4 linked regions of the Danio rerio genome follow. The protein of the gene in region 1 interacts with the protein of each later gene in a pairwise test. Links are inferred from orthologs where the notes say so. Each region holds a gene or a part of one and is shown in the gene's direction. Other genes may lie near its edges.

Evidence for each region. The genes of interacting proteins can lie anywhere in the genome.
Region 2: the proteins of sorbs3 (region 1) and sh2d4a interact in binary tests that used the Homo sapiens proteins (3 or more experiments, as listed by UniProt). The two-hybrid records come from large-scale screens. The link is inferred for Danio rerio from reciprocal best matches to the Homo sapiens genes SORBS3 and SH2D4A.
Region 3: the proteins of sorbs3 (region 1) and cpne2 interact in binary tests that used the Homo sapiens proteins (3 or more experiments, as listed by UniProt). The two-hybrid records come from large-scale screens. The link is inferred for Danio rerio from reciprocal best matches to the Homo sapiens genes SORBS3 and CPNE2.
Region 4: the proteins of sorbs3 (region 1) and trim23 interact in binary tests that used the Homo sapiens proteins (3 or more experiments, as listed by UniProt). The two-hybrid records come from large-scale screens. The link is inferred for Danio rerio from reciprocal best matches to the Homo sapiens genes SORBS3 and TRIM23.

The regions. Positions count from the first base shown.
Region 1 is NC_133183.1:45,217,469-45,220,989, reverse strand, and holds part of sorbs3 (vinexin), read left to right. Parts: intron 1-2,111; coding exon 2,112-2,200; intron 2,201-2,379; coding exon 2,380-2,486; intron 2,487-3,521. UniProt on the Homo sapiens protein: Vinexin alpha isoform promotes up-regulation of actin stress fiber formation. Vinexin beta isoform plays a role in cell spreading and enhances the activation of JNK/SAPK in response to EGF stimulation by using its third SH3 domain.
Region 2 is NC_133185.1:7,480,438-7,483,958, reverse strand, and holds part of sh2d4a (SH2 domain-containing protein 4A), read left to right. Parts: intron 1-2,369; coding exon 2,370-2,529; intron 2,530-3,521. UniProt on the Homo sapiens protein: Inhibits estrogen-induced cell proliferation by competing with PLCG for binding to ESR1, blocking the effect of estrogen on PLCG and repressing estrogen-induced proliferation. May play a role in T-cell development and function.
Region 3 is NC_133193.1:19,062,503-19,066,023, forward strand, and holds part of cpne2 (copine-2), read left to right. Parts: intron 1-943; coding exon 944-1,027; intron 1,028-1,437; coding exon 1,438-1,497; intron 1,498-3,521.
Region 4 is NC_133185.1:12,464,523-12,468,043, reverse strand, and holds part of trim23 (E3 ubiquitin-protein ligase TRIM23), read left to right. Parts: coding exon 1-80; intron 81-159; coding exon 160-294; intron 295-3,521.

The DNA.
Region 1 (3,521 bases):
GTTTACTTAATAAAGTGCACACTCAGAAATAAAGGTACAAATTCTGTCACTGTGGCAGTACCTTTTTAAAAGTTACATTTTTGTTTCTAAAAGGTCCTTAAACATATTAATACCTAAAAAGTACTTAGCCCTTGCTGAAGATTATGAAGTAAATAAATCTAAAATAGCCAGTGTTTTGCTGTAATAAAAGGAAACCGTATTCCACTGTAAAAAAGGGTCTAACAGTTTACCTTAAAGGTACAAAATGGAACCTTTTAATGAAACAAAAGTGTACCCAAAAACTGCTAATGTCCACTTGTATGGTACAAAAGTGAACCATTTGAAAAGTACCACCTCAGTGATAGATGTTGTACCTTTTTATTTCTGAGTGTGTAAAAATGTCGCATTTCTGAGTAACTTGTAAAACACAATCCTCTGCGTAACACTCTGCGTAATACTCATGTACTTAACATAAACTGTCCACATACTGTATATACAGTATAGGCGAGCAACTAGGCAGCTACTGGCCTATGAAAATGGTTTAGTTGGTGTTTCGTTTACATATAGGTCTGCTAAAACAAGCTGTATCTGAAATCACCCTATTTTCTTTGAATAATGTGCCCTTCTAATGGTGTCCAAACCATAACTGACATTCTGAAGTGCATTCAATCAATTCAACCTAGGCTCATTCTGATTATGTACCCCTATATTTCTGGAGAATGCTAAATACGTCCCAGGAGCTATGTTTTTTTTTTTTTGCAGGTTGTTTACGCGAATCCACCAGAGGCTGCGGTGTATGTTTTTTGAGATCTAAAAATTTTCTCACGAGTGTCATTTGCACCTGCTCTTCTTGCATAAATCTACCAGAGGCCGCTGTCAACTGACTGACCGTCTCTCCGATACCCCCACCCAACTCATCCCTAAACCCAACCGATAGTGTTTTAAAAAGCGATGCAGATTTTTTTAATTGTTTTTTTTAGCTGCTTTCTGAAACTGTTCTTTGCTAGACTCAAAACCCCGTCGTCAGTCATTGCCACTCCAACTAGTAACAGCGGAAAAGCTGTCCACACAGGTAAGTGGTCAGCTGGTGAGTGTGAAAAAGAAACTGTGACATACAGCCCCGAAGCTTTCAAAGCTTTTAAAGACGAAATGCAGTCATACATTCCTCTGGCTATATAATTTGAGATCTCCAGAAATGTATAAAGGGGTACATTTTCAGGATGAACCTATGTTAAGTCAATCACACAATGGACCACCATAATTAATATACAACCCATGTACACTCAACAGCTAGAAAGTACTGTAAATAATGCACTGTAGGGCTTTGAGCACCAAATTAATTTCCATATCTGATGGTGTAAGTTTCAGAATTTTGCAGTATAGATGTCTGCTTGAGGAAACTGAAGAAAAAAAAAAAAGTACACCATACACTTAAATAATTCTTGTTACACTTGTATTTTCCAATGTGGAAAAAATGTGTAGGTACCCATTTCCTAAACTCCTGTTTTACATTTGTACTAGCATATAATATTCAGTAGGTTATTATGTGTGAGCATAAGCTCACCAGCTCACAAGTTGCACCAGCTTTATACATGTAGATAATACAGTATGATTCAATGTTTACACACTGTGCTTGCATAAACAAATAGAGATCATGTAAGTTCACTGGTATAAGGGATAAAGTGGGAACAGCTATTTTGCATTTTGCATATTTTGTGTCTCGTCTATTTAAAGTTTGCATAATTACGTTTCTTTAAAGAAAATAATAAAAAAGTCCCCCTCAAAGATACTTTACACTGATGTAAACTAACAGTTGCACTTGCATATCATTGCAAATTCAATGTCAAATAAACACTAAACTTGTTATTCATCAAGGAATTAAAGTGTTTTATAATTTCCACAAAAGTCAGATTTTTCATTAAACAATACATACACCGTGAAAACCAAAAGAGGAAAGAAATGCTATACAATCTGTACACTAGTAACATCATACAATCATGTAAAAGTGATGCTGCATGTGTGTTAATAAAGCCATTTGGTACAATAATTTTTAGGGAAAAGGGAATGAAAAACAGCAACTTGAAAACACTGTTGTTGTTACTGTGTGTTACATTGTTAACACTTATTTATAGGATGTGGCCAGGACACAGTCTTCACAGCCCAACACTGTGATTTCTTCCACATCCCAGTCTCCTGCGAACATGGGTCATTTGCGACAACCGTGAGTACTTGACATGAAGCAGAATAAAACATGACACTCTCCATTTTTTTGAGAGAATTGTCCTTTTAAAGCAGTACAATTCAGATATTCAGGTTTAATCCAGCTATGTTGTACTTATTTATAATTTGGAAAATTTGAAAGTCCATTATTTGGAATGGTTTTATTTTGTTTACGTTCAGGTATAAAGCAGTTTACAACTATAAACCCCAGAATAGAGATGAGCTGGAATTGAGAGAAGGAGACATCGTTCAGGTCCTAGAGAAGTGTGACGATGGCTGGTTTGTAGGTAATTATAAATATTTTTGACATCATAATTAAAAGTGCAGTGTGTAAGATTGACACCTAGTGATTGAACTAGGTATTGCACTCCAAAATTAAAACACTTTTTCACCCTGTCCCCCCTCCAAAGTCTTCACGCAAAGTCCCTTTAAGGCAGGGGTGTCAAACTCAATTCCTGGAGGGCCGAAGCCCTCCACAGTTTAGTTCCAACCCTGCTCCAACACACTTATGCCAAGTTCAGACTGCATGATATTCAAAGTAGTCGTGTCACAGATGTTTTCACACTGCATGACTATCTGGGCTAGCGTTTCGTCGCTGCTTTGTTTACACTGCAAGATGGTTCAGCGACATGGACATTCACATTGCATGACTTTACTATAGGGAGAATCGCCGACAACTTCGTCCAAACTACGTCTCACAGCCAAAAACATGTAGTATATCTTTTGTTATTAACTACATAATGAGAAAGAAGCCTTTTAATGGGGTAGAACATGTACATATTTGCTCACCTGGGTTTAAAGGGAATTAGCCATTTCTCCTCAACGTTGATAATAAACTAATTTCTTTCTGTATGAAATGTCAAACAGACACGGTTGCTCCTGAGTCCTGTCAAACCTCCACTAGTTTTTCCTCCATTTCGTGGGTCCAAATAAACCAAAAAGAGCGCTTTTAACTTCTCCCCCAGCCTCCCGCTGGCCTGCAGCAGGTATACACACACGCACATATAAGTGAATGCCGCTCTCTCATTGGCTGTAGGCGATCGCTGATGTTATTTTCAGTCAAAACTCAATTCACACTGCATGGTTTGAATCGCTGACAGCTCCTGATATTCAGCACGCCAAATATCTCACAGGCATCGGCGACTCATCTGCGATTCTCTCAGATCGCGTCTTTAATCGTTCATACTGTGTGATTGTCACTCACGTTCACAAGCAGCGAATTGCCTGTGATTTTAGGCATTTGTCGGCGATTTCTCAAAACCTGTCGGCGAGCCAAAATCGGGGCTAAAATCACGCAGTCTGAACTAGGCATTACCTGTAGG
Region 2 (3,521 bases), on another chromosome or scaffold:
TGCACTGCTCTCTGAGGTTTTGTGTTTAAAGCACCCGCAGTCACCTGGAGCTCAGACATGAGCGTATGCTGCAGCGCATGCTCGTGTGTGTGTGTGTGTGTGTGTGTGTGTGTGTGTGTGTGTGTGTGTGTGTGTTTATGTGTGTTTATGTGTGTGTGTGCGCGTGCGTTTTCAGCGGTATAGTGTGGAGGGAGATCTTTTCAGAAATGCTATATGAAATGCCAGTGTGTGTATTTCTCGAGCGGGTTGCTGCTGCGACGAAGGCGGGGCAGAGGATCGTGATGCTGGCTCCGCATTGTGATGTCTATCTGCCGTCGGCGATGGAAAACTGAAAATTCAGCTATCATTTATTAACTCTTCACTTGTTCAAAACCTATTTGCGCTTTCTTCTTCTCTTTAACACAAAAGAAGATATTTTTTAAAAAAGTTGCTTGCTGGCACCCATTGACTCCCATAGTAATTTTATTTCTTAAGGCTCCTACACACCGGGACGCTTTTCGTTTGCGTTATTCGTCAGCGTTTTACGAGACGTTTTTCCGTATTCAAACCCAAGCAATTTTCACTGGCGTCAAGCAGAAGAGTATGCAAAATCACTCCTTATCATTAGATGGCGCTACACAACTTTAAGCTTCTGACACCCAACACATAAGATAAGGAAGAGAGGAAGTCAAAATGCTGCTGCAAGGCTTTAAACGGTTGTTGCTAGAGCTGATACGTTTGCGGCCGGAAGTTAACGAGAAATATTTCTATTATTTATTAAATTTCTCATTTGTTGTATTTTATTAACGTCCACCCCCACCCCAACCCTAAACCCAACCGTCACAGTAATGTAAAAACAGTTGTTGTTATACAGTGTCATTAAAAAAAATGCTGCTTTATTAATGTGTATATCGCACTTCTGGCCGGCCGCATATCCAATCTAGACTTTACCGCTTTAAACAGGTGCCAAAAAACATGACCACGTTACACCAGTTTCACGCGCTTAGCACTGATTGCCTGTACACTATCGAGTTACTTTTAAAATTCTTCTCTTGGTTTTTACATTTCTACAAGGCCTGGCACTAACTTATCCTGTTGATTGAGCATCAGCCTGCTCGGTCTCTTCGGTAATCTAACCAGAGATTGTGAAGCCATGCACAAGGGAACGTTAGACGGGGAGAACTAGCTCATTTGTATCAAAGGCACAGGCAACAAAAACAGCTACAATGTCTCAACATCTCAAGTTTCCCATTTTTAAAACGGAATAATAAATAATCTGATGGGTTTTTTGAGCTGAAACTTTACAGGCACATTCTAGAGACACAAAAGACTTGTATTAAATCCTGAAAAAGGGGTAAAATAGCTGCCCCTTTAAGAAAACTTTTAAAATTAAGACAATCAAAAACTTTAGCTACAGGTCCATGGGCGGTGGAAGACTAATGTTAAGTTCATGTATTTACTAGCATGGAGTAAGAATGAAAAATACTTGCACAGCATTTATTAATCATAGTTTAACATTCAGTAATGCGTTATTAAAATCTAAAGTTGTGCATGTTAGCATTAGTTACACTATGGGGTTTGTTGAGTCCATGAATCTAAATGGCTGATGAAGATACTTTAGGGTCGTTCATACAGAATGTGTCTTTGCATCTAAAAATGGTGAGACACCAAGGTCAAGAGTGATTTTGAAAGTCCACATGAGATCTAAATTTGCAATGTTTATTTTGCTAGCACTCATTGTTATTTTTAAAGTAAGTTATTAATCTGTGCAAGTTATAATCCATTGAAAAAAAACTGTTTGTTTTGTTAATCTTTAATGCAAGTTGGACCATTCGCTTAAGTGTATGAAGTGTCAATTTTTCTGTTGATGTCAACCTGAGGGCTTCCAAACTAAGTGCATATTAATACCCTCCCTTAACTTTTTAGTTTAATGTGAGAGAATGATGTACAAAAGACAGCCACACTCATACTTAATATTCCGTTTTGGTTGGAAGTACATCAACATACTGAAATAAAAGTCTCAGTCACGTAGACCTTTAAAAAGCTCCACCATGTTGCCATCAAATAAAATAGCTTGCTACTGTAAACAGATGAGTGGTGCTGCATTTAAAGGTTTATATTATTTTAACTTGACACGACATCTCAAAAGAGGCACTGCCAAAAAAGTGAGTGTAATGTTCACGCTTATGTCAAGTGCACGTTTACATAAAAATTACATGTGTTGTTCATTGTTTTTACATGTTGACATTCATTAACTAATATTATCAAATAGAGGATTTAGTAAAGGGTTACCATGATATTCATGAGGCATGGCTGGTCACTACGTTCATTCAATGCAAAAAAATATTGTCAGTAGTGTGAATGTTTTGAAATACATGTAATTTATGCAGTTTCAGGAAAGAGTGTGTCGTGGATGAAGGGTCTGGATGATGATGTTTGGGTTTGGGTGATGGGAGAACATCAAAATGACAAACCCTATGATCAAGTCTGTGATGAGATCATGGCCCAGAGAGCAGCCCTGCAGGCCCAGAGAGAGGCTGAGGAACTCAGGTAAAACAACTATATTATTCACCTTATTCTTCGTAGACGAGCGGGCGCAGCCATTTGAATATTTCTGACTCGAGACTTCCGGTCTCATTCACTTTCATTCATTTTTAGACATTAAAAACGTCTCGTTTCTCTGTTTGATGTTGTAAACTGATATTTCCTTATTATATTGTTCTACTTGGTTTGTATAGTCATGCAAAAAAAAAAATATATATATTTTTTTATAATTATTTTTTAGGGGTTTTCACCTTTATTGATAGGACAGTGGAGATGTAGAGACAGGAATGTGTGGGGAGCATAGATAGAGGAAGGATCAGCAAAGGACCTTGAGTTAGGAATCGAACTCTGGTCACTGCGAGCACCTCGGTGCTATATGTTGACGCACTAACCACTAGGCTATTGGCGCCAACTAGTCATGCAAACATTTGTTTGTAGAGTAATTAGTTTGACCGTTAATTATTCCTAGTCATTTCTCCAATAGACGATTGAATCTGAAGTTTTAAAACAATCGCAAAAACAAGCGCACTTCCGCATTTTAGAATAAGGTCAATAGCTTTCATTAATGACGCAACCACAATTATTATTTGATGAAATACAGCATGAGAATCTGAAATATTAGTATATATTTATGTACTGTCGTTTATATTCTTGGTGCATATAACTTATTTTATTGTGTGTTCTATTTAGGATTTAGACATTAGCCCCTTTCACACAGTGATACCGGTAAATATTCGGAAAATTTCCAGAACGACTTTACCGGTAAATTCAAAAAAAGCCCTGTTCACACAGGCGAGGACGTTACAGAATTTTTCCGGAAAAAAGCATTCACACATCCATCACAAAATGCCGGTAAATTCTGACATCATTAACTAGAAATGAGCTCTAAACGGTTGCGCTTGTGTTTGTAAACATTTGACTACATCACAAACTCTGTGGATGGATCAGTATTGTGAACAACTCCAATGAAAACATAGAGAAACACTTGCGCATGTCGA
Region 3 (3,521 bases), on another chromosome or scaffold:
TCGGGTGCCACTCCTGTCAGCTGAAAACAGGATACTGAGGCTACAATTCACAATTACAGACTCACCAAAATTGAACAATAGAAGATTGGAAAAACGTTGCCTGGTCTGATGAGTCTCGATTTCTACTACGACATTCGGATGGTAGGGTCACCAGATCTCAACCCAATAGAGCACCTTTGGGACGAGGTGGAACGGGAGATTTGCATCATGGATGTGCAGCCGACAAATCTGCAGCAACTGCGTGATGCTATCATGTCAATATGGACCAAAATCTCTGAGGAATATTTCTAGTACCTTGTTAAATCTATGCCACAAAGGATTAGGGCAATTCTGAATTCTGTACCTAATAAAGTGGCCAATCAGTGTATATTAACATGTATTATTTGTTTTAATTCTTCACCAAAATGAGTTTTTTATGGCTAATATTTACTATTTTATGCAAACATTCCAAATTACTGGAATAAATTTGTGTTTAATACCAGCAAGATGATGTATTGTTCTGTGTTGGATAAATGTTAATTGCCCCTCCATTGGACTTTGGTTAAGAAACCTTATAACATGTTTGGCTCTTAAAAAACTCACACACATAATAAGGAATTAATCTGCTTAATTTTGCAATATCTGAAGAAGCTTTTGAAGTCTGAAGTTGTGGAATGTGAAATGTGTTTGATTGGATTTTCTTTTTTTATGATTATTATTATTACATTTAAATTTTTTCCTTAAAACTGTCTGGGGTAAGTTTTGGATATTGGGGTTTGAATTACTGTAAAACTTAAAGATATGTTATACAAATTACTGAAATAATATAAATCATTTTAGACATGAATAACAATCAATATGTACATGTATTTACGAAAACACTATTTAATGTTGTCAACATTGTCTAATACATACAAAAACTATTTATCCTGCACTATAGTAACACAGTACCTTCCGTTCACAGGTTGAGTTTGAATGCATTAATCCCAAGAAGCAGAAAAAAAAGAGTTACAAAAACTCGGGAATCATAATTCTGAAGTCATGCAAGGTAAGGACATAAGAAACAAAGAATGGTGACACATTCACTATTCACAAGGCAAAAGAAATGATTAAATACATTCTGCTTGCACATTAAAGCACCTTCCATGTTCCGGCTTATTTAATTACAATTGTATTACAAATAAAAGGGTCTTTAATTGCAGCTTCTCTGAAAGGACAGATTAGTTTTATAGTGCTAAATCCCCTTTAAATAGCATGTATTAATATCAGCACAAAACACCTGTCACTCCTGCACCGTCACCATTTAATCAGCCCTATGATGGATTCAGGCATTAAAACAGAACATGACTCAGTTGTTCTCACTAAATTTTCAAATGAACCATTTTTCAACCTTTGTGGAAGGATGGCTTATGTGATGTGCTTATATTAATATAAGACGTGTGTGTTTTTTTTTGTTAGATTACAAGAGACTACTCCTTCCTGGACTACATTCTGGGTGGCTGTCAACTCATGTTTACTGTGAGTATGATAACGTCACCTCTGGAATTGAAATCTTTGTTCTTGTCAGATATTGGAGGGGAGGGGGGAGGGGGGGGGGGGTTCATGCATGCAAAATGCAGAAGCATCATTTGTATGCAGATGATTTCAGAAATATATTCTGTCACTGATGAAAATTTAATCTGAAAACCTCAATGACAGAACGCATTTAGAACGTGAAGTGACAGAATTGTATGGTTTACATTATTGAATTTTGAGGAGCTAATAGTTGAAGTCAAATTTGTTGATTCCGGTACGCTAAAAGCCTGTTTTTTTTTCCCCTTGCACTGTCCAGTTGAACAGACTCTATATATGGGTTCTTTATGTGACTCAATTGCCTTCACCAGTGTGATTGGTAAGAAATGATACAGAAAGTGAGTGAAATTCACAGGTTGCTATAGTTACAGTGTGCTGCAGTGTAGAGGTCCATGTCTCTCATTTGAAACTAAAGACAGAGAGAGAGACAGGGGGATGTAAAAAACAACAGAGGGAGAGAAAGCGAGAGAAGCTTTTAAACAAAGGAAAGTGATTTTGATATCTTGTTTGTTGTATGACGCCAACTTATGATGCACGCTTGTTTGTTGCTCTGCAGATAATCATAAGCCTTCACACTCTTCAAAATCAAGGTTCTTTATTGGTATGGCTGATTCCTTGAAGAGCCGTTAACATCACCAGACCACAATGAAACCACATAATGAAAATTGTTCTTTGAATAACTTTTCACCAGGAGGTTCTTTGAGGACCTAAAAAAGGATATTGTATGACATCACTGTGAAAAACACTTTTGAGAATTGTGAGAATTTATTTTGTTTCATGCAATTACAATCCCATTATAATTGCATGGAACGCATAAACAATTCTCACAATTCTTAAAAAATTGCTAGATTTTTTTTAACCCAGAAGCCACATAACTTGTCCAGATTACCTTTACTCGCTTTTATAGATATATTATACACTTCTTTTTAAATCAAGGTTCTTTTTTTTTGCACTTATGGTTCTATGAAAAACATCTAAATGAAGAAAGAACCTTATTATTTTACAACAGTTTCTTTAGGGTGAAAATCTGCAAAAAACATTTTGTAATATTTATTCTTAAAGTTTAAGATTATTTACATTGGAGACATTGGACTCTTGAGTCAGGGAAAAAGTATTTGCATGAAAATGTTTTGTGTTTTTGTACCTCCATCAGCAAATTATATTTAAGCTAATATAGCTAAGAAAATTATGTCAACATTGCTGGAAAAAATTATGGTAAGGTTGGATTTGGGGGTATTACCTTATTGTTACCCAGGTCCACTGGCTATGATAAACATATATTCACATGCAAATCATTCAACTTGCATGCATATATGGGCTTCCCTCTTAATACTAACACACACTTAAAGCCCATCTACCTTTTTATAATCGTCATTGACCAATGGTAGTTTAAAGGTGTTTATCAGCTGGAGAGAACGTTTCAAGCTCTTTCCTAACTCAAAATGAACTTTGTTTTGCTTGACATTACATCACATTAATTCAGTATATTTTAATTCAAGAGTTCACACTTAGCTGATGATTGATTTTAAAACGTTTTTGGAAAGCTGTCTCGGGAGAAAGCCCTGAACTCATAATATCCTCGAACCCAGGGTTCCCTCAGAAAACTCCCCCCTTATAAATGACAAATTAGGGATTGCTATGTAGACATACAGTTTAAGTCAGAATTATTAGCCCCGTTTGATTTTTTTTTTTCTTTTTTGAATATCTCCCAAATGATGTTTAACAGAGCAAAGAAATTTTCACAGTATGTCTGATAATATTTTTTTCTTCTGGAGAAAGTCTTATTTGTTTTATTTCAGCTAAAATAAAAGCAGTTTTTTAAATTTTTAGCCCCTTTAAGATATATATTTTTTCTGATAGTATACAGAACCAATCATCATTATATAATGACTTGCCTAATTACCCTAACCTGCCTAGTTGACCTAATTAACCTAGTTAAGCCTTGAATGTCACTTTAAGGTGTTTAGAAG
Region 4 (3,521 bases), on another chromosome or scaffold:
GCCAGCAGCAGGAGGATATGACCATACTGCTGTCTCAGGTGTCCACAGCCTGCCTGCACTGCGAGAAAACACTGCAGCAGGTACAATCTAAGGCATGCTAAGTCACACAACCAGCATGATCAAAAGATCAGGAATTTGAGTTTGTTGTTTTTGTGCCAGGATGATTGCAGGGTGGTTTTGGCGAAACAGGAGATCAACCGGCTGCTGGAGACACTGCAGAAACAGCAGCAGCAGTTTACAGAGCTGGCCGATCACATTCAGCTGGATGCAGGCATCCCTGTTACTTTCACTAAGGTACTGTTAATCATATAGATCATTGTTGAGAGAAAAAGAAATGCATGTTACTGTCAGTGATGTACAAGATGGATTTTTTAACTTAATTTACTAACTTTAAAAAATGATGAATGGTATTTGTAGCTCTCTTGCAGGGATGCCCACACCTTTTCAGCATGCGAGCTACTTATAAAATGACTAAGTCAAATTGATCTACCCAATATAAAAATGCAAAACATATATTACTTTTGTGACAATATTGAGATCCTGTATTGAGAATCCTGTATTTGTACAATCTATATATATATTGATGTACCTTGCATAACTGTATGAACCCATATTGTGCAAAAGCCTACAACTCTGTACATATTTTTGTCGTTACCTTACTCTGATGACTTGCACTGAATGGAATCAGCCTGGGAAGTATAGTTCGGACAGTAGCTGCTGATAGCCAGCCTCAAGCACATTACCAAATGATTATCAGTCATGGTGGAATGATATTTATGCTGTTGGCATAGTTTTATGCGCATGTGTGGTTATCCATGCATCAGAAAAGGTCAAATATAGGACTGGCTTCCCTGTATGTCAATCAAGCGACAAATTTCAGTGAGGATGGATGATAGGCTTATGTCTGTTTTTTTGAATGCCACGCGGTCTACCCATGCTTGCTTTGTGATCAACCGGTAGTTCCCGATCAAAGTATTGGGCACCCCTTTTCTATGGCATTTGTTGAAAAAACTGTAGTCTAATGCAGTTTAATATGTAAATCAATGTTATCTATTTATAATTAATTTAAACAAAAGCATACAATTAAAAGTTATATTAAAGCTAATAAAAAATGAAATACAAAATGTTTCTGCTAGTTGCCAAGGAAATATTTAAAACTAATATAAACATTTATAAAACCTAATAATAAAAATAAGAGACACAAGCTGCTTTTCCACTATTATGCCAAACCGTTCTAAGAACAGTTCGTTACGGTTGCGGTTGTTTCTCTACTGAGCCTAGAACGTTGCATCACGATTACAAATCAGTCATCCCGTGGAGTTTTCCGTCCACGTGCTGAACTGTGCCGACAGATTCTGGGTGTTGACGTCGCCGGTCTGTTGCCAAGCTACCACAGCTGGCTCAGCGGAAGCGCACTAGACATCAGACATCCATAAGTAAACTACTACATTTAATATAAAAAAAATATACAAGTCTAAACGTTACAGTTTAAAAAAGTTTTAAAACCATAAAGCAGTCTCTGGCAGAGAAGGGAATCACTAGCCCACCACATTCTTATGAACATATTTTATTTATTAAAGCTATTATTTCATTGACTTGAATATAACCATTTATGATCTAATTACTAACCCGTCATCTAAAATCTTAGAATAATAAAATAGCCTTTTATTTTATTCGTGGCTAGGGCTTGATTCATTTGATTGACATCCTAGGCAATGAGACCTTTACTCCGCCTGACTGAGAGTGAGTTTATTGCATGCAACGCTGTATTTTGATGGCAAAAAACTCAGTCTGATGTGGGAGAGAACTTTACCAAATGTAGCTGTTGATTTCTAAATGTGAGTATTGTTTTTACTAAAAAAAACTAAAACAAATGTTTTATTGAAATGAAAAGAGCAATTTTCACCATTTATATGATTCAGTTAAATATAAGTTGGATGTTTATGGGGCCATGTAACACATTTTTGTGTTTGGTTTTTTTTTTTGTTCTTGGTGATCTTTAACATTATACTGGGTAGCTATGCAAAATATTTTCTAAATTGTCAAGCAGGAATTTGTCTATAGCTTTAATTACGAAGACAAAAAAATATTAAAAATAACAAAAATAAAATTTCAAAAATACAAAGATAAAAAGAGCAGCATTTTGCTAAATATAATAGTCCTATATATGGTTTATATTGCGCTGTATGTTATATTCGTTTTTATTTTACTTGATGCATTCGTTATTTAATGTTTGAATGCTGAAAGAAATAACAGCCATCATTTAAATGGTTATTTTACCATCAAAATATAGCTAGTATATTTTATATCATTATCAACTTGTAATGTAATGTATTGTATATTTATATATCGCATTTATTGTGTATGGCCATACACAAAAGCCCTTCACAATCATGAGCAGGGTCTCTCCACACCACCACCAATGTGCAGCATCTACTTGGATGATGCGACGGCTGCAACAGGACAACGGCACCAGTGCGCTCACCACACACCAGCTATTTGTGGAGTGGAGAGACCGTTATAGAGCCAATTCAGTGGATGAGGATGATTGGGAGGCCATGACAGGAAGGGCCGATTGAGGGACTTTGGCCAGGACACCGGGTTACACCCCTACTCTTTCACGAGAAGTGCCATTGGATTTTTAATGACCACATTACTTTTGATATAAAACCGCTGTGTAATTTAACTGATTGTTAAATAAAATAATTTTAGTGTTATATTTTGTATTAGTGAAAGTGCCTGCTGACTTTTGACAAGGCCTGTCAAAATATATATTTCTGCAACTATTATACAAATGCATTATTATTGTTGCATTGTCATTGTTTATTTTTCTGTACAGAGATTTGAAATATATTTATTTCCCCTCCAATCATTTTTTTTCATCACATTACATTTTTAAAATTTGCCCAGAGCTGCTCAACATATTACATCTAAATAAATAAAGGTGCTGTGACATGTATTTATGTTTAGCACCCTGAGAGAGTGGCATAAAGAATGGTTCAGAACCAAAGTGAAAAAGCGGCTACAGACAGACATAGACAAAATTGTTGGTACTGTTTAGTTTTATGCAGGCCAGTATTATTATTTTGACTTTTTTAATACTTCTTTTGTTAAAGCTAAATTTGAAAGCAATATCTGATTTTCATTAGTTTATTTTCAGTCATTTTTTATTAATCATTACTTTTTTCATGTTATTTTAGTGACAGTCTGCTGTAGATTTTATTTAATAGAAGGGTACCCGACACTAAACTGAGGCATTTTATTGATTATCCCGCTTATTGTGTTGTCATTTGCCTAGTTATAGACGATTTAAAATAAATTATTCTTTACAGCTCATTATTTGACTACATTTTTATCAGTTGTGACATGTTAGATATCCTAGTCTCCACTTTTCAATTAGTTAGAAGCAAACAGAAAGAAAGATTATATACGTGCGTGTAAATGACAGCCATATCTAATAGCACATATAATGTATTAACTACCTTCAAATATTTTTGTGCATATTGTGAGGTGGTTGATCA